Linked DNA regions of Canis lupus familiaris. The protein of the gene in region 1 purifies or fractionates together with the protein of each later gene. This does not show direct contact. Links are inferred from orthologs where the notes say so. Each region holds a gene or a part of one and is shown in the gene's direction. Other genes may lie near its edges. The genes, in order: PIDD1, RIPK1 and CRADD.

What was found.
Region 2: the proteins of PIDD1 (region 1) and RIPK1 purify together in Homo sapiens (affinity purification with western blotting; 3 studies listed by BioGRID and IntAct, with this or other methods). This does not show direct contact. The link is inferred for Canis lupus familiaris from reciprocal best matches to the Homo sapiens genes PIDD1 and RIPK1.
Region 3: the proteins of PIDD1 (region 1) and CRADD purify together in Homo sapiens (affinity purification with western blotting; 8 studies listed by BioGRID and IntAct, with this or other methods). This does not show direct contact. The link is inferred for Canis lupus familiaris from reciprocal best matches to the Homo sapiens genes PIDD1 and CRADD.

Annotation. Positions count from the first base shown.
Region 1 is NC_049239.1:45,603,608-45,607,834, reverse strand, and holds the start of PIDD1 (p53-induced death domain-containing protein 1), read left to right. Parts: upstream 1-1,421; 5' UTR 1,422-1,527; intron 1,528-2,235; 5' UTR 2,236-2,274; coding exon 2,275-2,569; intron 2,570-2,845; coding exon 2,846-3,259; intron 3,260-3,590; coding exon 3,591-3,800; intron 3,801-3,888; coding exon 3,889-3,943; intron 3,944-4,120; coding exon 4,121-4,227. UniProt on the Homo sapiens protein: Component of the DNA damage/stress response pathway that functions downstream of p53/TP53 and can either promote cell survival or apoptosis.
Region 2 is NC_049256.1:4,671,559-4,675,071, forward strand, and holds part of RIPK1 (receptor-interacting serine/threonine-protein kinase 1), read left to right. Parts: intron 1-929; coding exon 930-1,079; intron 1,080-3,513. UniProt on the Homo sapiens protein: Serine-threonine kinase which is a key regulator of TNF-mediated apoptosis, necroptosis and inflammatory pathways.
Region 3 is NC_049236.1:34,177,835-34,182,025, forward strand, and holds the start of CRADD (death domain-containing protein CRADD), read left to right. Parts: upstream 1-1,390; 5' UTR 1,391-1,487; coding exon 1,488-1,526; intron 1,527-1,865; coding exon 1,866-2,169; intron 2,170-4,191. UniProt on the Homo sapiens protein: Adapter protein that associates with PIDD1 and the caspase CASP2 to form the PIDDosome, a complex that activates CASP2 and triggers apoptosis.

The DNA of each region.
Region 1 (4,227 bases):
GTCTCCTTACTCTTGGGGTGCCCTCGCTGTCATCACCCCCATCATAGACAGAGGTGGGGCACAGGTCTCACTCAAGGCCCCACACGGAGTAAAATGGGGACATCAGGGGTGGGGCGTGTTGTGATGTGTGGCGTTGGAGGTGACAGGATATGTCAGGTTTGCCATTCCAGCCGCACAATTCAGTGGCCCTGGGTGTTTTCCCAGTTACACAGCTGTCACCACTTTCTACCCACAGGGGATTTCGTCCTCCCAAGTTGGGAGTCCACACCAGCTCAGCAGTAACTCCCTACTTCCCCAGCCCCTGGCACCCACCACTTTGGACTCATTTGACTGCTCTGGGGTCCCGACTGGATGCAGACGTGGAAGCAGACTCTATTTACCCTCTCGGACATTCTCTCCATATCCTGGCACATATCAGAATTTCATTCCCTTTTAAAGCTGAATAATGGGGCACCCCGGGTGGCTCAGCAGTTTAGCGCCGCCTTCAGCCCAGGGCCTGATCCCAGGGTCCTGGGATCGAGTCCCACATCAGGCTCCCTGCATGGAGCCTGCTTCTCTCTCTGCCTGTGTCTTTGCCTCTCTCTCTCTCTCTCTCTCTGAGTAAAGAAATAAAATATTTAAAAAAAATAAAATAAAGCTGAGTAACGCCCTGTGGTGGTTGTTTAAGTCTCTGGCAGCCTCGCAGAAACAACGGGGGCCAGGAGCCGGGGCAAGTGCAGGCCTGGCCCAACTGCCCATCCTGGCGGGTGGGCGGCTGGTGGCGTGGGAGCCCCTGATCTGGGGCAGAGCAGGTGAACGAGCACAGGTCTGGCAGGCTCTCCACAGGCAGACCTAGTGTGAGGTTCTCAGCTGTGGCACTTAGTTCCGGTGACCTGGGGCAAACTCTGATGTCAGGGCCTCCTTTTCCTTCCCTGTGAGATGCAAAGATTGAGGCAGAGGAGGCATGGGCTAGCCCCCTGCTGGGGCACCTGGCCAAAGTGCCGCTAAAGCAGGATAGCAGGAGCTGGGCCCAGGCCGCTAGAGGAGCCTCAGGAAGGCTTCCCGGAGAAGGAGGCCCCAGAGGCTGGCCGGGGACGGTACCCGTGCTGCCCTGGCTTCTGGCAGGAGGTGGATCTGAGGCCGCAGCTGCGTCCGGGCCCCCCTCCCCCGAGGTTGCACCCGCTCACCTCCCGGCCGGGAGCGCACAGCTGCAGGGCAGGGCGGGCCGGGGCCGGGAATCTCCGGGAGGGCGGGCTGGGCGGCGCGACGCGGGCCTCCCGGCGGGAGAGGCCGGCCCGAGGCGGACGAGCAGGAAGCCGAGCACCGCGGGGCCGGCGGCTGGCGGTTGGGGTCCGCGGCCGCGTCTCCTGGGCTGCAGGCTGGACAGGGGCGGGGCGGGGGGTGCGGGCACCCCGAGGCCTCCGCCTGCGCCCCAGCCCCGCGGCGTCCGGCCTGGGCGGGCCCCCGACGCCTGGGCCGCTCCGAGCGCGCCAGCGGGAACCCGGCGTGGGGCGTCCCACCCGGGACGGCGCCCAGCCCGGAGCGCAGGTACGCGCAGGGCGAGGGCGGGGGCGGGGGGGCGCTCTCCCGGCCAGGACCGGCCCCGTCGGAGCCCCGAGTGCCGGGCCACTGCTCCCGACCGCGACCTCGGTGCAGACGGGAAGCGGGGAGACCCCTCCCCCAGCGTCCCATCCCCAGGACTCCGCGCTGCCCAGTGGCTCACCCCCCCACCCCATTCACTTATCTGACCTGTGTGGGCACAATCGCCCCTTTCCTGGCCTGGGCCACTGTCCCCACGTGGTAGAGTCCTCAGCCTCGGGTCAAAGCTGGTGGGTGTGAAGGTTGGCAGGGGGGCTGGACCTCCAGCTCTTGGGGGGGGGGGGCAGAACAGCCAGGATGACAGGACAGCTCTAGGGGTCTCCTTCAGATTTCCAGAAGTGGAATGTGAAGCCTCATTTCTCCCTCCTCCCCCCAGCCAGGTCCTCTGGGCTCCTCTGCACACAGATCTCGCTCTGGGCTGCCTTCCCAGTCCTGGGGTCCTCCTTCCCCAGCCCTCTTTCAAAAGTGACCTGTCCAGGGGAGGCTCTGGGCTCTGTGCATCAGCTGGTCTGGCTCAGGGGAACTCCCCCCTCCCCCCGCCCCAGCCAGAGTCCCCATTCCCCTGAACGGAGGAGGGCCCAGCCTCCCTCCCTCTCCCCACTCCTCCCCCTGACTCTGCAGCCTCCCCGGCCCTGTCTGAGCAGGCCTGTTTGGCAGGCTGGGACATGTCTGGCCCCCGAGGACAGCCGGTGGGCGATGGCTGCAGAGGCAGAGGGGCTGGAGCCCCAGGCAGCTGCTACAGAAGATGCTGCAGGAGATGCCACAGAGGCTGCGGATGCAGAGCTCCGTCTCCTGGTTGGGAACCGGTTGAGCCTGGACCTGTACCCTGGGGGGTGCCACCGGCTGCTCCATCTCTGTGCCCAGCGACCCCCTCAGCTGGGGGAAGTGGAGTTCTTGCAGCTGAGTGGCCACGAGGACCCTCAGCTGCTAGAGGCTACCCTGACCCAGGTGCCGCGGAACCTGCAGCGCCTTCGCTCCCTGGTCCTCAGAGGTGAGCCCCACCTGGTCCCAGCCCTGTCCCAACCCCGCCCATGCTGCAGCTGCCCAGTGGTGTCCCCCAGCAGACAGCAGCATGGCTATTCTTTCTGGGGCAGGTCATGGGTGATGGCTGTCAGCCGAGATGAGCCTGTCGTATGCATCCCTGTCTCCCTGCATTGCTGGGGTCTCTGTCCCTCGCTGGGTGGGGTTGGGGTAGAGAGGTCTGTGCCTCTGAGCTGAGCCCTGGGATTCCGGCCCTGAGGGCCACATCTGCTCTCCCCCTTTCTAGGTGGACAACACTGGGATGTGCTGGGTGCCTGCCTCCGGGGCTCTCTGACCACACTGCCCGCTGGCCTGAGTGGCCTGGCCCGCTTGGCCCACCTAGATCTGAGCTTCAACAGCCTGGAGACGCTGCCGGCCTGCATCCCACAGATGCGTGGCCTGAGCACCCTCCTGCTCTCTTACAACCACCTCTCAGAGCTCCCTGAGGCCCTCGGAGCCCTCCCCTCCCTTACCTTCCTCTCTGTGACCCATAATCGTTTGCAAACGCTGCCCATAGCGCTGGGAGCTCTCTCCACCCTGCAGCGCCTTGATCTCTCAGGGAACCTTCTGGACACTCTGCCCCCTGAGATTGGAGGCCTGAGCAGCCTCACGGAGCTCAATCTGGCTTCCAACCGGCTGCAGGGCCTCCCGACCTCCCTTGGTAAGTAGGGGTCAGGCCCCTTTTGGCTCCTTGGGCCTGATGGAGAGGGCCTTTTGGCCACTGTCTGGCCTCCGCTCTCTGTGGGCCCCACCTTGTCCTCCACAGGGGACCCTGCACACACAATCTTGGCCACCTTGGAGCCTTCACTCCTCCAGGTGGCACTCGTTTGCCCTTCCTTCCCTGGATTTCAAGCTCCCCGAGTCTGGCCATGGGGCAGAGACTGGAAAGGCTTCTCTGCTTGGGCCTGCCATGAGTATCCTGTCCTGGCCAGGACTAGGCGTGGCCCTGGGTGGTGGTCCTCTGCTGGCCCTAAGCTGGCATCTCCCCACAGTGGGGCTGCGGTCCTTGCGGCTCCTTGTTTTGCACAGCAACCTCCTGACCTCAGTGCCCACCGGCCTGGTACACCTCCCGCTGCTCACTCGGCTGGATCTGAGGGACAACCAGCTCCGGGACGTGCCCCCGGAGCTCCTGGACGCTCCCTTTGTGCGCCTTCAGGGGAACCCCCTGGGCGAGGCTCTACCTGCCCCCCAAAGCCCCCCAGGTAGGCTTGTTCCTGGGAAGGGTCAGACCACAGACAGGCCAGGATGTAGGTACTGTAGGTATACTAACAGCTGCCCATCCTTGCACAGAGGCGCCGGTGATCCTGGAAATGCCCAGACTGTTCCTGAACTCAGATGTGGACAGGTGTGTGTGAGTGTGTGTGTATGTGTGTGTTGCTGAAAAAGCACGTCTCTACCCTGTCACCCTATCCATAATGTGCACCTCGCTCAGGCCCCAGGGATCTTCTAGAGTTTCCCAGGGGTGCCCGATTCAGCCACACCCCTTTCTATTGTCTGACCTGATGCCCACTCTGTCACACAGCTTCCCTGTGACTCCCCAAGGCTGCTCCGTGACCCTGGCCTGTGGCGTCCGCCTGCAGTTCCCTGCTGGGGCTACTGCTAGCCCTGTCAACATCCAGTATCGTCTCT
Region 2 (3,513 bases), on another chromosome or scaffold:
CTTTGTCCATTCAAAACCTATGAATTCAAGGTATATATATGATTCAAGATCCATCTTGAATCCCCCCACTTCTGTCCCCACCAGACTCTCTAGTTCAGACCATCCGTATTTCTACTGAGGGCTGCTCATTTCCCCATTCACCCTGCAGCCAGGCTGGTCATCCTAATAGACAAGTATGACCATCTGATTCATCTATTTATAATCTTTCCAAGGCTCCCTGGGCCTCCAGTATAGAGTTCAAATTCTTCAGCATGGAATACAAGGCCCTCTCTGGCTTTTCCATCTTTCTCTAGCCTTATTCCTTACCTCTCTTTCTTTAGTCAATATGCCCAGTTATTGAGAACTACGCATAATTTCTAGGATACATCACGATTTTGGAGACTTCCAAGCTATTCATATCCTGCCCCCCTATCCTGGAATCCTGTTCTCTGAGTCCTCCTTCCTGATTTATCGATAAATCCTTCTAGTTTTTTTTTTTGATGCAGCAAAGCCTTCTCTGACCTTCTCATCATGGTTGTGTTAGCAGAAACCTTTGTACTTAATTTTTGAATAACCATTACCAATCTGTATTTTAAGTCCCTCTCAATAAACTTAGTTCTTTACGGGTAAAAGCTGTTCCATGTTCGCCTTTGTATTAAAGTCTGGAGTCTGCCATTGTTTTTATTTGTATATTCTATTCTACCAGGAGGCCACTTTGTTGTGAATTCTTTCTTTCTTCTGCAGAGGTTAAAATGTCGTTTGATCATCTGGGCAGTAGAATATGTCAGTGCCTTGTCAGAGGGTCCTTCTGCCCCTAACAGATGAGGCGCCCGTCCTAAAAGCATACCCTAGGTAGAGGAGATCAGCAGGATTGTCCAAGTTCTGCTGCCTTCCTGCCTAAGACACGCAGGACCTGAGGAAAAAATCAACGTAAATTCTTTGCCTTATAGATGCTATCTGTGAACAGCAGCTGATACTGTGCATTAAATCTGGGAACAGGCCAGATGTGGAGGACATCATTGAGTACTGCCCAGAGGAGATTATCAGCATCATGAAGCAATGCTGGGAGGCAAAACCCGAAATTCGGCCAACATTTGCTGGTAAGAGCATCTTCTGTGACTGTGTACATTGCCAGTGAGGTGACTTTCCTGGTAAGATGTTGTCAGGAAGTTGAAGTGTTCAGAAACCTGAGTTCTACTTGTGATTTCAAATAGACTTTCTAGATTTCACACATTTTGTTCGATGAAAAGATACCATCCCTCTTAAAAATGTGAAGTTATATGAGGCCCTCTTCTTTCTTTTTTCTTTCTTTCTTTTTTTTTTTTTTTTTCTGCATAATTAACTTTTTAAAAATTGTGTTAAGGGCAGCCCTGGTGGCTCAGCGGTTTAGCGCTACCTTCAGTCCAAGGCATGATCCTGGAGACCCAGGATCAAGTCCCACGTCTGGCTCCCTGCATAGAGCCTGCTTCTCTGCCTGTATCTCTGCCTCTCTTTCTCTCTTTGTGTGTGTCTCATGAATAAATAAAAAAAATCTTTAAAAATAAATAAATAAAAATTGTGTTAAAATATGCATAATGCATCAGTTACCATTTTAACCTTATTTAAGTGTACAGTTCAGCGGCGTTGAGTACGTTCACAGTGTTGTGCATCCAGCACCACCAGCCATCTCTAAAACCTCTTCATCTTCCCAAACTGAAACTTCGTATCCATTAAAACGCACCAACTCCCCATCCCCCTTCCCCCAGCCCTGGCAGCCACCCTTCTGACTTTTCATCCCTATGAATTTATTCTATTATTTCTATCATTACATCAATAGGCACGATTCTAGGCACCTCGTGGAGTCATACAGTTTTTGTCTTTTCGTGCCTGGCTTGTTTCACTCAGGATAATGTCTAGGGTTGCTCTGTGCTGTGGTGTGTGTCAGAAGTTCCTTCCTTTTTTTTTTTTTTTTGTAAGATTTTATTCATTTATTCATGACAGAGAGAGAGGCAGAAACACAGGCAGAGGGAGAGAGAAGGGGTGTGTGTGTGTGTGTGTGTGTGTGTATGTATACACACACGCCGCATTTTCTTTATTCATTCATCTGTTGATGGATACTTTGGTAGCTTCCACTGGTCCTTTTTTATTAGCATCTTTTATTTCTTCTCCTTCCCCTTGGGATGCAGACTTCTTTGGAAATGTATATTGTCATTTAGATTAGGCCTGTAGGGCAGCCCGGGTGGCTCAGCCGTTTAGCGCAGCCTTCGGCCCAGGGTGTGATCCTGGAGACCCGGGATCAAGTCCCACGTCGGGCTCCCTGCATGGAGCCTGCTTCTCCCTCTGCTTGTGTCTGTGCCTCTCTCTCTCTCTCTCTCTCTCTGTCTCTCATGAATAAATAAATAAAATCTTTAAAAAAATTAGGCCTTTAATAGAGGGCGAGGAAAGGGGACATGAATGTTTGTCACATCCTTGCATGTCTTCCCATTCCACTAGGTTACCTAGGACCTTGCTAAGATTCTAGAGGCAGAGGAAAGAAAATCAGGTAAGCAAGAAATAAATAGTAGGAAGTCACTTAGGAGCCTATTTCTGCCATGAGAAAACAGAATAAAGCCCCACCCACCACTAGAACCAAGGATTAGAAGGGTACTTTGATTTACTTGCTTGTTTTCCTATTTTCCTAGTCAGCCTGAATCCTCTCCTGACCTGGTCTCTTCTTTTCTTTTATGCCTTTTTCACTTTTTTAAAATTAAAGTTCCTATTTTGAGATAATTGTAGATGTACCTGTGGTTGTAAGAAAAACAGGGGCACCTGGCTGGCTCAGTCAATAGAGTATGCAACTCTTGATCTCGGGGGTTGTAAGTTCGAGCCCCAGGCTGGATGTACAGGTTACTAAAAAATCTTTCTAAAAAAAATAGGGAAAAGAAAAGAAATAACACAGAAATATCCCATATACCTTTTACCTAGTTTACCCCAGTGATAGCATCTGGCCAAACTACAGTATGGTTTTACAACTAGGATGTTGACCTTGATACAGTCAGATGCAGGTCATCTCCATCACCAGAAGGGTGCCTTATGTTGCCTTCTTGTACCCACACCCACTTTCCTCCCCAACGCCACCCTCCTCCTTCACCTCTGTTGATCTCTAATCTGTTCTCCGTTTCTGTCATTTTTTGTCACTTCACAAATACTACATAAGTAGAATCATAGGGACCCCTGGGTGGCTCAGCAGTTGAACATCTGCCTTTGGCTCAGGGCATGATCCCGGAGTCCTGGGAACGAGTCCCACATCAGGCTCCCCACATGGAGCCTGCTTCTCCCTCTGCCTGTGTCTCTGCCTCTCTCTCTCTGTGTCTCTCATGAATAAATAAATAAAATCTTAAAAAAAAATAGAATCATAAAATACTTTTTGGGAATGCTTTGGGTTTGGCTTTTTGCCATTCAGCATGATTCATCCAGGCTATTGTGTATACCAACGATTTGTTCTTTTTATTGCTGAGTAGTATTCCATGGTGTGGATGTACCACAGTTTGTTTATTCTTTCCTCAAAAGAAATAT
Region 3 (4,191 bases), on another chromosome or scaffold:
TAATAAGAGGTTGATAACGTACCACAGATAAAAACAAAGTTTGAAAAGGGATGGGGAATGCAGGAGATTAATGTTGCAATTTTAAATAGATTGGTCAGGAAAGGTTTCGTAGATGAGGCGACTTTTGAGACTTATCTATCAGGTCAGTTGTGTGCAACGCCCTGCTGGAGATCCTGTCTTAAAATACTCCCTTAGATAAACCCCTACGGGGACGTGGCGCAGCGGTTTGGCGCCTGCCTTTGGCCCAGGGCGCGATCCTGGAGACCCGGGATCGAATCCCACGTCGGGCTCCCGGTGCATGGAGCCTGCTTCTCTCTCTGCCTCTCTTTCTTTCTCTCTCTCTCTGTGACTATCATAAATAAATAAAAAATTAAAAAAAAAAAAAAACCCTACGTGACTTACTTAACTGTTTTCCATTTCCAGGAGGCGATATTGTTTACCCGCAATAAATATGGCGGAAAAAAGCTTCAGTCCCCCACACTTGGGCCCGCTCAGCAAACATGGAGACAGCACTTCCTGTGTTTGCCCTCAACAAAGATGGCGACAGCACTTCCTGTGTTTGCCCTCAACAGAGATGGCGACAGCACTTCCTGTGTTTGCCCTCAACAAAGATGGCGACAGCACTTCCTGTTGAGGGGCTTCGCCTTCAACAAAGATGGTACTTATGGTACAGGTTCCTTAACAGCCTGGATTCCGGTTGCGGTTTTTTTTTTTTTTTTTTTTTTCCTTTAAATACATGTGTTTGCAGACGTAAGTAACAGGAAACCAGAAACCCCGTATCCATTTTTTTCTCGAAGGCCCCGCACCGTGGCCTCTGCGGCCTCGGCCCCGCGTGGCTTCCCCGCCCACCTAACTTGCGGCGTTTGCGAGCCGGGCCCGGGTTGGGGAGGCGGTGGCGGTGCTGGGGGGGCCAGCGCCCCCTTCCATCCGTTCTGAAGATCATTCCCTGCTCAGGTTGCCCCGAAAATCCCTCCTAGTTCTTCCTGTTGGTAATACAGCAGGACTTGAGGTGGCAAGGAGGGAACTGAGGGCTCTAGACGGGCGTGGGCGGCCGCCAGCGCACGCCGTCCCCTCCCCCGTCGCCACCTCCCCCTACCCCCACCCCCACGGAGCCCCCCCTGTGCCGCCCCCCGACCCCTCCCCCCTCCCCCGCTGCTTCGCCTTCGAAGCCTGGGCACCGGCGCCCCGAGACCCGGCGGCGGGCCTGGCTACTGACCACGGCTGCAGTGGGGGGAAATCCCCAATAAGCGTCCCTCCCACGTGCGGTCCTGGCGGTGGTGCCATAGAGATGCGGAACGCCTAGGGGGAGGGGTGCCGCGACCACCCGGGAGGCGCCCCGCAGAGCACACCTAGAGGTGACGGGGCGGGGGCTTTGCTCCCAGGGGCGGAGGACCTTACAGGGCTCGGTACCTGCGGGCCTCGCGCCCACGCCCACTGCGCTGCGGGCTGAGCAGAAGCCGGTCCGAAGGCCGCCTGCGGTATATCTGATGAAGTCGACGTTAAAGGAAAGCCGCTGGTTCTTGTTAGTATGTTAAAATGAAACGCTGCTCTGTAATTCTCAGATCAAAATTGCTTTTAAGCAGGGTCCGTGGCCCAGTTTTTTCCAAACGTCCTTATCAAGCAAGGAATCCAGCGAGGACCCCATTGTGTGGAAAGCAAAATTAGAAAAGATGATTCATATTCAGGGTTGGTCATTATGCTCAGAAATATTCAAGATTACTTTGATTTGGCTTAACGGCCATATGCTAAACACCACGGCCTGGCACTCCGCCAAGATTCCTAGACGTACCTGACCTTAAGGAGTTTGCCTTTAGGAGGGTTGGTCAGCTTCCTGGAATCTGAGCTACTATTTCATGTCTTCCCAGGGAGAAATGGAAGCTAGAGACAAGCAAGTGCTTCGCTCCCTTCGCCTGGAGCTGGGTGCAGAAGTACTGGTGGAGGGACTGGTTCTTCAATATCTTTACCAGGAAGGGGTCTTGACAGAAAACCACCTTCAAGAAATCAAAGCTCAAGCCACAGGCCTTCGGAAAACAATGCTGCTGCTGGATATCCTACCTTCTAGAGGTCCTAAAGCATTTGATGCATTCCTAGATTCCCTGCAGGAATTTCCCTGGGTTAGGGAGAAGCTGGAGAAGGCAAGGGAAGAAGCCATAACTGAGCTCCCTGCAGGTAGGCCTGAAAAGATCACTTCTGACCAGCTGCAGAATTGTGGAAACTATGTCCTTTGGATGTGAAGTTGGGGTTTTAGGTGAGCAGTGGGTAAGGAGTTTGGCGTGAAGGCACATGGTGTTGGAGGCTGAGGAGGAGGAGGTGGAATTAGGAATGGTAGAGCCGGGGATCCCTGGGTGGCTCAGTGATTTAGCGCCTGCCTTGGGCCCAGGGCGCGATCCTGGAGTCCCGGGATCAAGTCCCGCGTCGGCCTGCTTCTCCCTCTGCCGTTCTCTCTCTCTCTACGTCTATCATGAATAAATAAATAAAATATAAAAAAAAAAAAAAAAAAAAAAGGAAGTGTAGAGCCATGATGCAGAGGGTGAGGAGGGAGGTCACAGAATACATTTAGAAATGCTTCCAGGGAAACTTGGCAAGTCACTTGGGAGGCATGTTCTCATCTGAGAGCCAGGTCATATCTCAGCTCTTGGCATCGGGAGCCATTTGGAAAGTACAGATGGGAAAGCAGGCATCAGGCTACCGATAACGGATTTGTGGGGTGCCAGAGCTGCCGGCTGGGAAAGGTCAGCTTCATGAAGGAGGAGACAGTCTCTAGGAAGGCATGCCTTGCACCTGTTCCCTAGGCCAAAGGGGATTATTTAGAGAGCTGGTTAAGTTTTTAAAGGTTATTGATTGAAAGTCATTCTTTTTAGTTTGGCTTTGTTCAGACACCCAGAGTATTTAATATTATAAGAATAGTAGTTTGGAGAGGGTCTGTTTTGATTTTAAAGAAAGTTGAAAGCAATGGAAAAGAGAAACAATCCTGATGCTACTGGCCTGACTTGTAGCAGGAAGAAGATATGATGTGAGATGCTTTCCCTCTTAACACTTCCATGACTTACTGTTTTCCAAAGCTTGAGGAGCAGAGAACTGAATTGCCAAAAAAACCCAAACCAAACCAAAACAAAAACCCACCCCCAAAACAAAACAAAACAAAAAAACAACAAAAAAAAACCAACCCCCAAACCTCCAAAGTATAAATAACATAAATTAGTTTAAAAAGAAATAAGTAAAATAAAAAAATAAAAAATTGAAAGTTAACTTGCAAATTTTTAATAGTTAGGAAATAAACATTTTCCGGAGTTTTTGAAAGTAGTGATAGTTAGAACTCCTCCGGGACAGTGGTTCTCAGACTTTGTTGTTGCAGTTTTAAAAATACCAACATAGGGATCCCTGGGTGGCGCAGCGGTTTGGCGCCTGCCTTTGGCCCAGGGCGCGATCCTGGAGACCCGGGATCGAATCCCATGTCGGGCTCCCGGTGCATGGAGCCTGCTTCTCCCTCTGCCTGTGTCTCTGCCTCTCTCTCTCTCTCTGTGACTATCATAAATAAATAAAAATTAAAAAAAAAAAAAATAAATAAAAATACCAACATAACTGGTTAAAAAACAACTACCAGTAATAAAAGACCAATTTTATTATTTTTGCCCCATGGACCTCATATTTTGTTTTATTTTGAATGATTTTTCAGACTGCAGGTACTAACTAATCATGATGAATTCTTCTATTTTTATTAATGACATATGTCTGAATATCTGCTCTGCATGAGATAACCACTTAACTTAGGAGGGCTTGGTTAAACCCCAGTGGAAAAAACAAACATATTTTCATTTCCTAGCATGGCTGAATTTCAGGTAAATGTATGTGTTAGGCTTTTTGAAATACTGAAAATAGCTGTCCTTTCAGGGCCACAGGAATTCAAGTGTCCTTACAAAATTAAATACTCCAGGTATGTGAACAAATCCAAACGAAAGTATCTAAGACGTTTCTACCAGTTTACTGAAAACAGAATAAATATTGTGGAACTGGGGACATGTTAAGAGAAGTATTAGGGTATCCAGTGTCTTTTCCTGGTGTTTAACTTAGAGATGCCTCTTGGCACCAGATAGTTGGAAACAACAAAACAAGCGAAACGAAACCCCGTTACTACCAAAATATTTCATTTAATTTTACAATCATTTTGGGTGATGTAACCAGTTCTGTTCT